3 linked regions of the Saccharomyces cerevisiae S288C genome follow. The protein of the gene in region 3 binds, or shares a complex with, the protein of the main gene of each other region. Each region holds a gene or a part of one and is shown on either strand. Other genes may lie near its edges. A codon is read from its position in the direction of its gene.

Region 1 (4,001 bases), on a different chromosome or scaffold from region 3:
ATTAAGTACTTAACTAATACTGGAAATTTGTTATTGGCATCCCAAATTCGCCATTCCTATCCATTCTGTTGGAGATCCGATACCCCATTGTTATACCGTTCTGTTCCAGCTTGGTTCGTTCGTGTTAAAAACATTGTCCCTCAAATGTTGGATTCTGTGATGAAATCTCACTGGGTTCCTAACACCATCAAGGAAAAGAGGTTCGCCAACTGGATCGCCAATGCCCGTGACTGGAACGTTTCCAGAAATAGATATTGGGGTACTCCAATTCCTTTATGGGTTTCAGACGATTTTGAGGAGGTCGTCTGTGTTGGTTCTATCAAAGAATTGGAAGAATTGACCGGTGTGCGTAACATCACTGACTTGCATCGTGATGTCATTGACAAATTGACAATTCCATCCAAGCAAGGTAAGGGTGACTTAAAGAGAATTGAAGAAGTTTTTGATTGTTGGTTTGAATCTGGTTCTATGCCTTATGCTTCTCAACATTATCCATTTGAAAACACAGAAAAATTTGACGAAAGAGTTCCAGCTAATTTCATCTCTGAAGGTTTGGATCAAACAAGAGGTTGGTTCTACACGTTAGCTGTCTTAGGTACCCATCTATTTGGCTCTGTTCCATACAAGAACGTCATCGTCTCTGGTATTGTCTTAGCTGCCGATGGTAGAAAGATGTCTAAATCCTTGAAAAATTACCCTGATCCATCCATTGTTCTGAACAAATATGGTGCGGATGCATTAAGATTGTACTTGATAAACTCACCTGTTTTAAAAGCTGAAAGTTTGAAATTCAAAGAAGAGGGTGTTAAGGAGGTTGTTTCAAAGGTCTTACTACCATGGTGGAACTCCTTTAAATTTTTGGACGGTCAAATTGCCTTGTTGAAAAAGATGTCTAACATCGACTTCCAATATGATGATTCTGTGAAAAGTGATAATGTCATGGACAGATGGATTTTAGCTTCTATGCAATCTCTAGTACAATTCATTCACGAAGAAATGGGTCAGTACAAATTATACACTGTCGTTCCAAAACTTTTGAATTTCATTGATGAATTGACAAACTGGTATATTAGATTTAATCGTCGTCGTTTGAAGGGTGAAAACGGTGTTGAGGACTGTTTGAAAGCATTAAATTCTTTATTCGATGCCTTATTCACATTTGTCCGTGCCATGGCTCCATTCACCCCATTTTTGTCAGAAAGCATTTATTTGAGACTGAAGGAATACATCCCAGAAGCTGTCTTAGCAAAATACGGTAAGGACGGAAGATCAGTCCATTTCTTATCTTACCCAGTGGTCAAGAAAGAATACTTTGACGAGGCCATCGAAACTGCAGTTTCTAGAATGCAATCCGTTATCGATTTGGGTAGAAACATTCGTGAAAAGAAAACTATTTCCTTAAAAACTCCATTGAAGACTTTGGTCATCCTTCACAGTGATGAATCATACTTGAAGGATGTAGAAGCCTTGAAAAACTACATTATCGAGGAATTAAATGTTCGTGATGTTGTTATCACCTCCGATGAGGCAAAATATGGTGTTGAGTATAAAGCAGTTGCTGATTGGCCTGTATTGGGTAAGAAGTTGAAAAAAGACGCAAAGAAGGTTAAAGATGCCCTACCATCAGTCACTTCTGAGCAAGTACGGGAATATTTGGAAAGCGGAAAGTTGGAGGTTGCCGGTATTGAACTGGTTAAAGGAGATTTGAATGCTATTAGAGGCTTGCCAGAATCTGCTGTCCAAGCTGGACAAGAAACCAGAACCGACCAAGACGTGTTAATCATCATGGATACAAATATTTACTCTGAACTAAAGAGTGAAGGTCTCGCAAGAGAGCTGGTCAACAGAATCCAAAAATTGAGAAAGAAGTGTGGTTTGGAAGCCACCGACGATGTTTTAGTGGAGTACGAATTAGTTAAAGATACTATCGACTTTGAAGCCATTGTCAAAGAACATTTTGATATGTTAAGCAAGACCTGTAGATCCGACATTGCCAAATATGACGGCTCAAAGACAGACCCAATTGGTGATGAAGAACAATCTATTAATGACACCATTTTCAAATTAAAAGTGTTCAAATTATGAAAACAACTCATATAAATACGTACAAATTTTTCTCTACTCGAAGTGATATAGATGTATATGTGTAAGTTTACGTTTAAGTTAGAGTCATGTAATGCTAACTGTCTCCACCGATAATGTTGTATAATACCCGTGAAATCATAGCACATGATATATCATCACCCGGAGGCCGGTTATTTTCGGCGGCGGCAAAAATATTTGGTATAATTATGGAAATACAAAAAGGGGAACCATTAAAGGTTGAGGAGGGGATTGATAAGAGAATCTAATAATTGTAAAGTTGAGAAAATCATAATAAAATAATTACTAGAGACATGAAGTCTACATTTAAGTCTGAATATCCATTTGAAAAAAGGAAGGCGGAGTCGGAGAGGATTGCTGACAGGTTCAAGAATAGGATACCTGTGATTTGCGAAAAAGCTGAAAAGTCAGATATTCCAGAGATTGATAAGCGTAAATATCTAGTTCCTGCTGACCTTACCGTAGGGCAATTTGTTTATGTTATAAGAAAGAGAATTATGCTACCCCCTGAGAAGGCCATCTTCATTTTTGTCAATGATACTTTGCCACCTACTGCGGCGTTGATGTCTGCCATATATCAAGAACACAAGGATAAGGACGGGTTTTTGTATGTCACTTACTCAGGAGAAAATACATTTGGCAGGTAGTCTTTTATATGAAAAGAAATGAAGCGTTAACATCTAAAATCGAAATTATAGGGACTCATTAGCCATCTATTGTTCCAGTATAAGAATGTTTACATAAAAAATTCGAAAAAAAAAGATAAAATAAGGGAAAAATATATATATATTCATTAAGAAGTTTTGTACACAACGGAGCCAAGATTTCACCAGTATTTGGAGACAAATGTGAGCACGTTATGGTATTTACTTACAGATTACGATCTGTTCAATGCATCAGAAATAGGAAGAAATTCAAAATAAAATAAAAAAAATATTAGGAAGGAGTGAAAAAGCAAATAAGATGATACAGTAAGGTGGAGTTAATGTCTTTCTTCTCCAAAATGTATTCTTGCTAACCAAAAATCTGATTCTCTCTGACCTGTTCGTTTGTCTTATGTATGTAGAATCAATTTCTTACAGAATTTTAAATACTGTATAGTGGAAAAGAATAATAAATAAATACTCGACTATATTTACCTTTATCTTAAGGAAAAGTTCACTCGATATTCTTAACTTTACCGTCTAGTAAGGCCTCTTTATTACATTAAAATATACACGTACATTACCCTGCTATCTATATGTCGAACATGAATTTTTATTCTTTGTAGAAACAAATCCCCAAATTATTGCCGCTGTTCTTAACGTACTTTTCAATTGGATCATTATCAATTTTGTATTCCTTCAAGTGAATGATATCGTTGTAGGAAATAATGTCCCTAAATTTCCTGTCCGATTTGTACCATTCGTGAATTAACCAGGTCATTTCTTTATTAAATACGGAATTATCGGAATCTGATGTCTCGATTAGTTCTTTTAAAATATAGTACATTTTGTTGAAAGAAACACCCGCTGTTATGAATATAGAAACTATCGACCCTGATACAATATGTTCCTTAGGTAGTGTTTCGTAGAAAAAATTACAGACAATGGGAAAGAGTTCGAAAATGGGGAAAATGAATTCAGAATCCTGAACATTTTTACCAATTTTAATCAGTACATTAGACAGTAAGTTGATGAAGTTCATTGAATCTTCTTTCTTTCCGGTATTATTAAATTCCATCCTCAAAGATTGGAATAGCTCATCCCACTTGGCCATAATTACTTCATGGTCCCTAAAATCTGCTATCTTGAAAATGAATAGGGCAATTTCATGGTAACTTAAGGGTACAGCAAAATCATTAAACAGCTCACTTGTGCTCAATATTTTACCATCTAGAGTTTTGATCAGCTCATCTT
Region 2 (4,195 bases), on a different chromosome or scaffold from region 3:
CTTCTGCAGAAACGATAGACGCTATGAAGAGTTTAACATCCTTGGTTTCATCCGTTGCGGGCGGTACCTTTGATGATGTGGCATTGGGCTGGGCTGCTGCCGTGGTGATGGGCTATTTCTGCGCTGGTGGTAGTGCCATCTCAGGTGCTCATTTGAATCCGTCTATTACATTAGCCAATTTGGTGTATAGAGGTTTTCCCCTGAAGAAAGTTCCTTATTACTTTGCTGGACAATTGATCGGTGCCTTCACAGGCGCTTTGATCTTGTTTATTTGGTACAAAAGGGTGTTACAAGAGGCATATAGCGATTGGTGGATGAATGAAAGTGTTGCGGGAATGTTTTGCGTTTTTCCAAAGCCTTATCTAAGTTCAGGACGGCAATTTTTTTCCGAATTTTTATGTGGAGCTATGTTACAAGCAGGAACATTTGCGCTGACCGATCCTTATACGTGTTTGTCCTCTGATGTTTTCCCATTGATGATGTTTATTTTGATTTTCATTATCAATGCTTCCATGGCTTATCAGACAGGTACAGCAATGAATTTGGCTCGTGATCTGGGCCCACGTCTTGCACTATATGCAGTTGGATTTGATCATAAAATGCTTTGGGTGCATCATCATCATTTCTTTTGGGTTCCCATGGTAGGCCCATTTATTGGTGCGTTAATGGGGGGGTTGGTTTACGATGTCTGTATTTATCAGGGTCATGAATCTCCAGTCAACTGGTCTTTACCAGTTTATAAGGAAATGATTATGAGAGCCTGGTTTAGAAGGCCTGGTTGGAAGAAGAGAAATAGAGCAAGAAGAACATCGGACCTGAGTGACTTCTCATACAATAACGATGATGATGAGGAATTTGGAGAAAGAATGGCTCTTCAAAAGACAAAGACCAAGTCATCTATTTCAGACAACGAAAATGAAGCAGGAGAAAAGAAAGTGCAATTTAAATCTGTTCAGCGCGGCAAAAGAACGTTTGGTGGTATACCAACAATTCTTGAAGAAGAAGATTCCATTGAAACTGCTTCGCTAGGTGCGACGACGACTGATTCTATTGGGTTATCCGACACATCATCAGAAGATTCGCATTATGGTAATGCTAAGAAGGTAACATGAGAAAACAGACAAGAAAAAGAAACAAATAATATAGACTGATAGAAAAAAATACTGCTTACTACCGCCGGTATAATATATATATATATATATATTTACATAGATGATTGCATAGTGTTTTAAAAAGCTTTCCTAGGTTAAGCTATGAATCTTCATAACCTAACCAACTAAATATGAAAATACTGACCCATCGTCTTAAGTAAGTTGACATGAACTCAGCCTGGTCACCTACTATACATGATGTATCGCATGGATGGAAAGAATACCAAACGCTACCTTCCAGGTTAATGATAGTATCCAAACCTAGTTGGAATTTGCCTTGAACATCAAGCAGCGATTCGATATCAGTTGGGAGCATCAATTTGGTCATTGGAATACCATCTATGCTTTTCTCCTCCCATATTCGCAAAAGTAGTAAGGGCTCGTTATATACTTTTGAATATGTAAGATATAATTCTATATGATTTAGTAATTTATTTTCTATACGCTCAGTATTTTTCTGCAGTTGTCGAGTAGGTATTAAACGCAAAAGAAGTCCATCCTTTTCATCATTCAAATGGACATCTTGGCAAAGGGCCCAGTTATGGAAAATCTGGGAGTCATACAACGATTGCAGTTGGCTATGCCACTCCTGGTAAGGAATCATCAAGTCTGATAATTCTGTTTTTTAGCCCTTTTTTTTTTTTTTTCATGGTGTTCTCTTCTCATTGCTTTTCAATTTTAAGTTCGTTACCTTTCATATAGAGTTTCTTAACAGAAATTTCACAACGAAAATATAATTAACTACAGGCATGTAAATATAAAAACAGTCCTTTAATAATAAACCTTAAGCATTACGCGTGTATTAATATAATAAATAGTTATAAATTGAATAAATAGGGGAGAGAAGCCAAAAGGCCCTTCAAAAACAAAGATATAAATTCATCCTTAAAAACAACAATACCTGAAGATACTAGAACACCTTGTCGCCTATGATGGACATATATACAGACCGGGTCATAGCATTGCCAATGATAAATAAATAATAGTCATAGAGAGTAAACATAAACGCCTAACGTATAGGAATGTGTGAGAATGGTGAGTTTCGTCCTTGAAAATAATAATAATAATAGTTGGTGCTTTTATTAGTGCCAAAATCATTTGAGAGGCTTCTGAGTTCTTCGGGGCTAGCTGTTTTTCTGATAGTCTAGGCAAATGCCAAAGATTTCTTAATTTCAGCAATAGCCAAACCAGGATTCAAGCCCTTTGGACAAGTTCTAGTACAGTTCATGATGGTGTGACATCTGTACAATGACATGGAGTTGTTTAGCATGGCCTTTCTTGTCTTTGTAGCTTGGTCTCTAGAGTCAATTAGCCAACGGTAGGCTTGCATTAGCACGGCAGGGCCCAAATACTGTTCTTGGTTCCACCAGTACGATGGACATGAAGTAGAGCAGCATGCACACAGAATACATTCGTAAAGACCATCCAGTTTCTTACGATCTTCAATACTTTGTAGCACTTCCGTTCCATCCTTTGGAAACGATGATCTCTGTAAGTAAGGTTGGATAGATTTGTATTGTTGGTAGAAGTTAGTTAAATCAGGTACCAAATCTTTGACAATAAACATGTGGGGTAATGGATAGATCTTGAGTTGTTTGGATTCGTTCTGGTCGATCTTACATATACAAGCTAGCGTGTTTCTACCGCCAATGTTCATGGCACATGAACCGCAGATACCTTCTCTACATGATCTTCTAAAAGTTAGGGTAGAATCCTGTTCGTCTTTGATCTTTAACAGCGCATCAAGTACCATGGGCCCACAGTCATTCAGATCCACTTGATATGACTGTAAATGAGGTTTAGCACTTGGCTCGTCTGGATTCCATCTGTAAACTTTAAAAGTTTTCAATCTGGGGGTATGCGTAGCTGCAGCTGTTGTGGCAGTAGCCATACCCTTCTTCGTCACCAAACAAAAGGCCTTCCTTCTCAATAGCACGTTCAACATCCCTATAAATATGTATACTCCAGTATTTCAAGAAAGTATAGCTCAACTATATTCCTTTCAATCCCTTCCTTTAGCCTAACATTTTTTGGCATTCTCATAGAAAGTCATTAATCCCCTTATATAAGTTTGCCCTTTTTACACCGGAGCTAATTGGGCCAATGCGAGGCCGCCTTTTGCGCGCTGCGGATATTTCTAAGGCATGGTCGTGCGGAGCTACAATAATACGATTGAATTATAGCTACATAGTGTACAAAAGCGGGTATATACTTTCATATGTGATCATAGGATAGCTTCACAGTACTTATTGTATTCTCTAACAGCAATGGCGATGTTCCTGTACAAGGACCGACGTTCTTCAGGATCGCTGATGGGAATGAAGTATTCGGATTGAGACTTGAGTTTAATTTGAAGACCGGATCTTTCCAATGTAATTCCCTGGATGGAAGGATATCCTGTGCTCCACATAAGCTCTTGGGTGGCCATTTGCACCTCAGCAATGTGCTGCATGGACACAATTACTGCTAGTTCTTTGCCTGGCAATATAACGTGCGACAGGTATTCATCATTCATAAATACTCCTCCATTCACGGTCTTGAGCCAGTATTGTCCTTGGGCCTCACGTAGATCATAAGGCTTGATGATTTGATCATGGTCCACGTACCTTGGTAGACGCACTCTGCAACCCTTTTGCATGTCAAGCACAGTGGTGGTACTTTTCACGCCTTGACTTAAGTTACTTGTAAGATCTAAGAATCCAATGGCTGTCTTAGTTGGCAGCCCAACGATACCTTTACCAAGGCCTTTGAGGAAACCAGCGGCGCCTTCCTTTTGCATGGCCTTGTATGGGTCCAGTGCAATTCCGCTCAACCCGCTTCCCAGTGTGCTGGCAAAGGATTGCGCTGAGTTTGCCAAGGCATTCCTGTTGTTTTTATTTATTCTTTGTTGTAATCTCCTGACCCTTTGGAATTCCAGATCTTGTGTAACTGACAGGCCCTTGGCCATCGACCCCGTAAACTTGGACATACTATCAGAGAGGCCAAAGACTGTTTTCTTTGCAAAACTTAGTCCACCTTTAGCCAGATGTATACCAATTTCTTGA
Region 3 (4,096 bases):
TTTAGATATGAATGCCAAATTAATGTGAATTATTAGGAGGGGAAACTTGGATACGTGAAGTGAACGCATAGATCTTCAAATCGTATAGTTTTTATCATATCACTTTAGACATTGATGGAACTACTCCTCTTACCAATTTCTTAGCCGTCAGCAACGAACTTAAAACGTATTGATTGAACGCCCGTATCATACATAATAAAGAAATACAACTTATTCTCATAAAAAGAAAGTATCAAAAAGGTAGCTTTACCGACACTTTCACTGATCCTTTTTGAAAAATACGGTGAACATTGAGGACTTTATTACATTTTATGTTTATGTTTTGTGAGTAAAGTCAAGAATTTGTCTTCTTGTTAAAACTACAAAAAATAATGTATGCAAAATAGTATAGCAAGATCATTTTAATAATTCAATGTTATAAACGTTAGAGTCAAAAATTTAGTAGCTTAATTACGGAAAGTGGCACCACAATATGTACCAATGCTATTATATGCAAAATATTAAGCAATCTCATCAGATTCATCATCTTCCCATTCAAAAACATCGTTGCCTAGTCGTTCGACCTCCTGCTTTATGACTGACAAACCGCTAATTTCTTCAAGGTAAAGTGGATGCTCCAAGGCCTTTTTAACAAATTCCCAACCTAAGTCTGTAAATGCTTCGATAACTTTAGGGCTACATGCTGGACAATGCTCATAGGCTGGAGTTTCTAATTTTAAGATGGAAAAATTATGCAAAAACCCACGTATTTGATGAGGTATATCCCCTAATACTGTTGTTTCTGAACCAGAGTATTTGGTCTGTAGTAAGGAAGTCATCAATTCAACTGCTAAAGAAGAGGCCATCATAGCAACGCCGGGTCTAGTTACTGTGCACATTTGATCCAAAGTCCTGTCAGTTAAACTGTCAGTTGGTGCTACCACATCATGGCAAAAATAACAGCCCAGTTGTTTTGAAGACTGTTCATCTCTATTACCATGCCTCATAACTAAGTAGCTATCAAACCCCAGAGCAGCATTAATAACGGTTTTGTTTTCGATGTTGCTCAATAACGACGGAAGCCATCTGCTTTCTCGAGAATCCACCAATAAAAAAATGATATCATGCTCTTTTATTAATGCTCTTAATCTATCAAAATCCTTATGCTGAGCCTCCTCGTTTACTAATTTATGACCGATCATAGGAATACTTAATTTCACACCAGTAGCGTCCATTAAAGGAAATATTCTTTTCAAAGACGCAGCCGCAAGTTCTGCCTTTGGCTTTCCACAGTCCTCAAAATTATATAACGCTTGCCTCACTGGATTTGAATATGAAACTGTACCGTTATCCACAAATGTTATTTTTCTAACCCCCCATGCTATCAATGCGCGTGAAACATAACAACCTAGTGTACCAGCACCTAGTAGTAGTACTTTTGTGTTTTTGATGATATCTAGATTTAAGTCAGGAAGAATTCTCCATTTCATTAGCTTCAAATTTAAATCCACGGATTGGTCAGCAATTTTTAAAGGATCTAACAATGAACTTAAATCAACAACACGTGGTGCTAGCTTACCTTGCACATTCCTTTCCCATCCAGAAACTTTCATATCTGGGTTACTTGAGGATGATTGTGGGTCAATAGAAGCAAATGTAGCATTTAATGCAAAGCTACCTTCGTTCTGTCTAATAATTAATAGTTTGAAATCTATCAAGTCAGGAACATCGTATTGCAACACGCTGAGAAAATTTTTGGTTAGAGCAGAAGGGACGTTTTCCATCGTACTAGTGTCCCTTATCGCCAAAACTTTAGTTTTTCGAATAATACACTTGTCATAATTTACTATTTCATCGTCTGCATCCAGTATACACACCCATTTTGAGTAATTGACATCAAACCATTTTTGACACTTTGAGAACAGCCCTTTTAAACTCGGCTCTGGCCGCACATGTAAAACTGTTGAAGAGGGTCTTTGAAAACAGGGAACACCTAACCAGTAATAAAACCTGTACTTTTTTAGGTCAGCAAAACTAATAATCACAAAAGAAACACACTTATTGATATCCTTTATTCCATCTTCCCAGCATTCCAATGCTCTTTGATGTAAAAATAGTTGCTTATCAAGATTCTTAAACTCGTCTAATACATTAAAATTGAAAATACTGCCCTGTAAAGGCACTTCATTAGTACGCTTATTATTGTGTTTTTCAAAGCTTCTATTTGTTAAGAATAATGGAACTTGATCAGCAGATTTAGGAATGTTGTGTAAATCTAGATTCACAGTAAGTGGTTGGCATGTTGAATCTAATTTCAGAACATCGAGTTTCAATCTCGATAATTCTTGGAAAAAAGATGTATCCAGAAATGATTTAAAAGCTGGTGCATAACTTAAGACCCTTTCTGACGACATTTTATTCTTGATTATCTTATATTTGTTGAAATATAATGAACTTTAGTTATCTAAGTAGCATCGTAAAATAATGAGTTCCCTTAATTTTTTTGTTTTGCCGTGCCGGAAAGGGTGTCCAAAGGAATCTCATGGATTAAAAAAGCGGAAGTTTAAAAATCTTGCGTAAGAGCTCTACAAATGAAAAATCTTGCTTGCCTATCTAGTTTTCAACATGTGGTGGCTTGTTCTTCCATAAAGTACATTTTACATCCATATATATGTATATAGATAAACTGAAATGCTAGTGTTTGTTAAGAGTATATACTACTCTCCATTCTTTGGTGTTTTTTTACTGCTGAGATTCAACGGGTGTGTTCTCGACTCCATCTTCTAATGTCATTTCATCTAACTCGTCCAATAATTCATCAATGTTGATTTGTGGAGCGTCTTCATCCTCGTCTTCATCCATTTCATGCTCTTCAGGAGGTACATTTGCTTCGCGGTTTTTGTATAGGTTAACACTTTGTCTTAATTCAGCATCCTCTTCTAATTCTTGTAAGAATAATTCGTAGTCCTTTTCTGCACGTTCCATTTCTTGCTTTTGAGCTCTTGAATTGTAATCTAAGGATGCATCGATATCTTTGTGTTCCTTAGCCATTCTCTTTAACTTCCAGTGTCTGCTCTTTTTGCTCTTTCTTTGATACAATTTCTTCACAAGAACTACATCAGGCACATAATCGATATTTAACCCATCAAAAAGATCTGAGTTGTAATTCGAGTTTGCAATGAAATAACCCATAACACTATCACCTGCATGGCAAATACCACCGAGATGAGACCTGACGTAGTAGACTTGGTCATTAACACCCAAGTCAGACGTTCTAGCAACAGTAATGTCAGCTAAGACACGATTTCCCCTGCTTATACCTGTAGAATCCACGTCCAGAACAATGAACTCCACCAACTGGGTCACATCAGCCAGGGCGTTGAATGGAGCCCTCCAGTACACAGATGGTGACAGATCCGCGGTTTGCAAAGTAGTCGGATCCATAAACTGGACAGTGTTAGAAATCTTAGAACATAGAACAAATTGAGAAATGTTACCCATAGATTTAGCCAGTTTTTTTGGTAAAACGACCAAGTCATCTTTACAGATAGGAACAATCTCGACAGAATATGAAAATTTATAAGTAGATGCACCAGTATGTGTATCTTGAGAAATAAGTTCTTCAGACTTTTTATGTTTAATCGGAACAACAGCGTTCAAAAAATCAATCATCTTAACTGCGTGGTTTTTTTGCGCATAGAAGAAATCCAACCCGTCCTTAGCTTCACTAATGGAAATGGTATCCACATGAGCATTATGTTTCAAAATCAGTTGTTCCAAAAACAAAAATGTTCTCTTGTGAGGCACTTTTTGTCTAATTTGGACAGTAGCCCTCCAAGTATTTGTAGTGTAGGATCTGGCACAGTCTGGACATTGCATCGCAATAACAATGTATTCTACTTCGAAAGTTTGCTGAATAATAGTATTTGTCATGGCTTCTCCCTGCACGGTAAGTTTAATTCTAATACGTCTAGAATGGGGTTCTGTCCAAATGAATGAAGCATCCACTAATCTGACTTTTGTTAGGCCCTTCAAACGACGCAAACAAATGGCCAGTAATTCTCTAGATTCTAATTCTGCTCTGATCCATTGTCCAGGTGGTTGCAAAAATCTTTCA

What was found. The genes of interacting proteins can lie anywhere in the genome.
Region 1: the proteins of ATG7 (region 3) and ATG8 are in contact, whole or in part, in a crystal structure (PDB 3RUI), measured with the Saccharomyces cerevisiae proteins. Residues at the interface, in NP_012041.1 of Saccharomyces cerevisiae: Gly333 (codon at 1,397), Thr334 (codon at 1,394), Leu335 (codon at 1,391), Leu436 (codon at 1,088), Val437 (codon at 1,085), Asp438 (codon at 1,082), Ser439 (codon at 1,079), Arg440 (codon at 1,076), Arg443 (codon at 1,067), Ala460 (codon at 1,016), Ala461 (codon at 1,013), Leu462 (codon at 1,010), Gly463 (codon at 1,007), Asp465 (codon at 1,001), Ser466 (codon at 998), Tyr467 (codon at 995), Leu468 (codon at 992), Tyr486 (codon at 938), Cys488 (codon at 932), His489 (codon at 929), Asp490 (codon at 926), Val491 (codon at 923), Val492 (codon at 920), Ala493 (codon at 917), Thr495 (codon at 911), Asp496 (codon at 908), Ser497 (codon at 905), Asp500 (codon at 896), Met506 (codon at 878), Thr510 (codon at 866); in NP_009475.1 of Saccharomyces cerevisiae: Arg28 (codon at 2,478), Glu37 (codon at 2,505), Lys38 (codon at 2,508), Lys46 (codon at 2,532), Tyr49 (codon at 2,541), Leu50 (codon at 2,544), Pro52 (codon at 2,550), Leu55 (codon at 2,559), Gly58 (codon at 2,568), Gln59 (codon at 2,571), Val61 (codon at 2,577), Tyr62 (codon at 2,580), Val63 (codon at 2,583), Arg65 (codon at 2,589), Lys66 (codon at 2,592), Arg67 (codon at 2,595), Pro72 (codon at 2,610), Glu73 (codon at 2,613), Lys74 (codon at 2,616), Ala75 (codon at 2,619), Ile76 (codon at 2,622), Phe77 (codon at 2,625), Phe79 (codon at 2,631), Asp82 (codon at 2,640), Thr83 (codon at 2,643), Leu84 (codon at 2,646), Pro86 (codon at 2,652), Thr87 (codon at 2,655), Ala88 (codon at 2,658), Glu112 (codon at 2,730).
Region 2: the proteins of ATG7 (region 3) and ATG10 are in contact, whole or in part, in a crystal structure (PDB 4GSK), measured with the Saccharomyces cerevisiae proteins. Residues at the interface, in NP_012041.1 of Saccharomyces cerevisiae: Lys14 (codon at 2,354), Phe16 (codon at 2,348), Leu17 (codon at 2,345), Asp18 (codon at 2,342), Thr19 (codon at 2,339), Asp47 (codon at 2,255), His49 (codon at 2,249), Asn50 (codon at 2,246), Ile51 (codon at 2,243), Pro52 (codon at 2,240), Lys53 (codon at 2,237), Ser54 (codon at 2,234), Pro59 (codon at 2,219), Phe61 (codon at 2,213), Arg65 (codon at 2,201), Asn71 (codon at 2,183), Asn72 (codon at 2,180), Arg74 (codon at 2,174), Lys94 (codon at 2,114), Arg135 (codon at 1,991), Tyr137 (codon at 1,985), Asn276 (codon at 1,568), Val277 (codon at 1,565), Gln278 (codon at 1,562), Ala282 (codon at 1,550), Pro283 (codon at 1,547), Val285 (codon at 1,541), Val286 (codon at 1,538), Asp287 (codon at 1,535), Leu288 (codon at 1,532); in NP_013058.1 of Saccharomyces cerevisiae: Gln12 (codon at 1,722), Tyr15 (codon at 1,713), Asp16 (codon at 1,710), Gln18 (codon at 1,704), His21 (codon at 1,695), Asn22 (codon at 1,692), Gln27 (codon at 1,677), Asp28 (codon at 1,674), Val29 (codon at 1,671), His30 (codon at 1,668), Leu31 (codon at 1,665), Asp33 (codon at 1,659), Glu34 (codon at 1,656), Lys35 (codon at 1,653), Leu39 (codon at 1,641), Arg41 (codon at 1,635), Glu64 (codon at 1,566), Arg81 (codon at 1,515), Trp83 (codon at 1,509), Ile88 (codon at 1,494), Asp89 (codon at 1,491), Gly90 (codon at 1,488), Ile91 (codon at 1,485), Pro92 (codon at 1,482), Met93 (codon at 1,479), Thr94 (codon at 1,476), Lys95 (codon at 1,473), Leu96 (codon at 1,470), Leu98 (codon at 1,464), Pro99 (codon at 1,461).

The regions. Positions count from the first base shown.
Region 1 is NC_001134.8:79,127-83,127, reverse strand, and holds ATG8 (ubiquitin-like protein ATG8), read left to right. Parts: upstream 1-2,396; coding exon 2,397-2,750; downstream 2,751-4,001. Other genes in the region: isoleucine--tRNA ligase ILS1, read left to right, coding at 1-2,085; NUP170 (Nup170p), read right to left, coding at 3,361-4,001.
Region 2 is NC_001144.5:50,836-55,030, forward strand, and holds ATG10 (E2-like conjugating enzyme), read right to left. Parts: upstream 1,756-4,195; coding exon 1,252-1,755; downstream 1-1,251. Other genes in the region: FPS1 (Fps1p), read left to right, coding at 1-1,112; succinate dehydrogenase iron-sulfur protein subunit SDH2, read right to left, coding at 2,296-3,096; membrane morphogenesis protein VPS13, read right to left, coding at 3,376-4,195. UniProt on the Saccharomyces cerevisiae protein: E2-like enzyme required for the cytoplasm to vacuole transport (Cvt), autophagy and nucleophagy. Acts as an E2-like enzyme that catalyzes the conjugation of ATG12 to ATG5.
Region 3 is NC_001140.6:444,010-448,105, reverse strand, and holds ATG7 (Atg7p), read right to left. Parts: upstream 2,394-4,096; coding exon 501-2,393; downstream 1-500. Other genes in the region: ribosome-binding protein NMD3, read right to left, coding at 2,722-4,096. UniProt on the Saccharomyces cerevisiae protein: E1-like activating enzyme involved in the 2 ubiquitin-like systems required for cytoplasm to vacuole transport (Cvt) and autophagy. Activates ATG12 for its conjugation with ATG5 and ATG8 for its conjugation with phosphatidylethanolamine.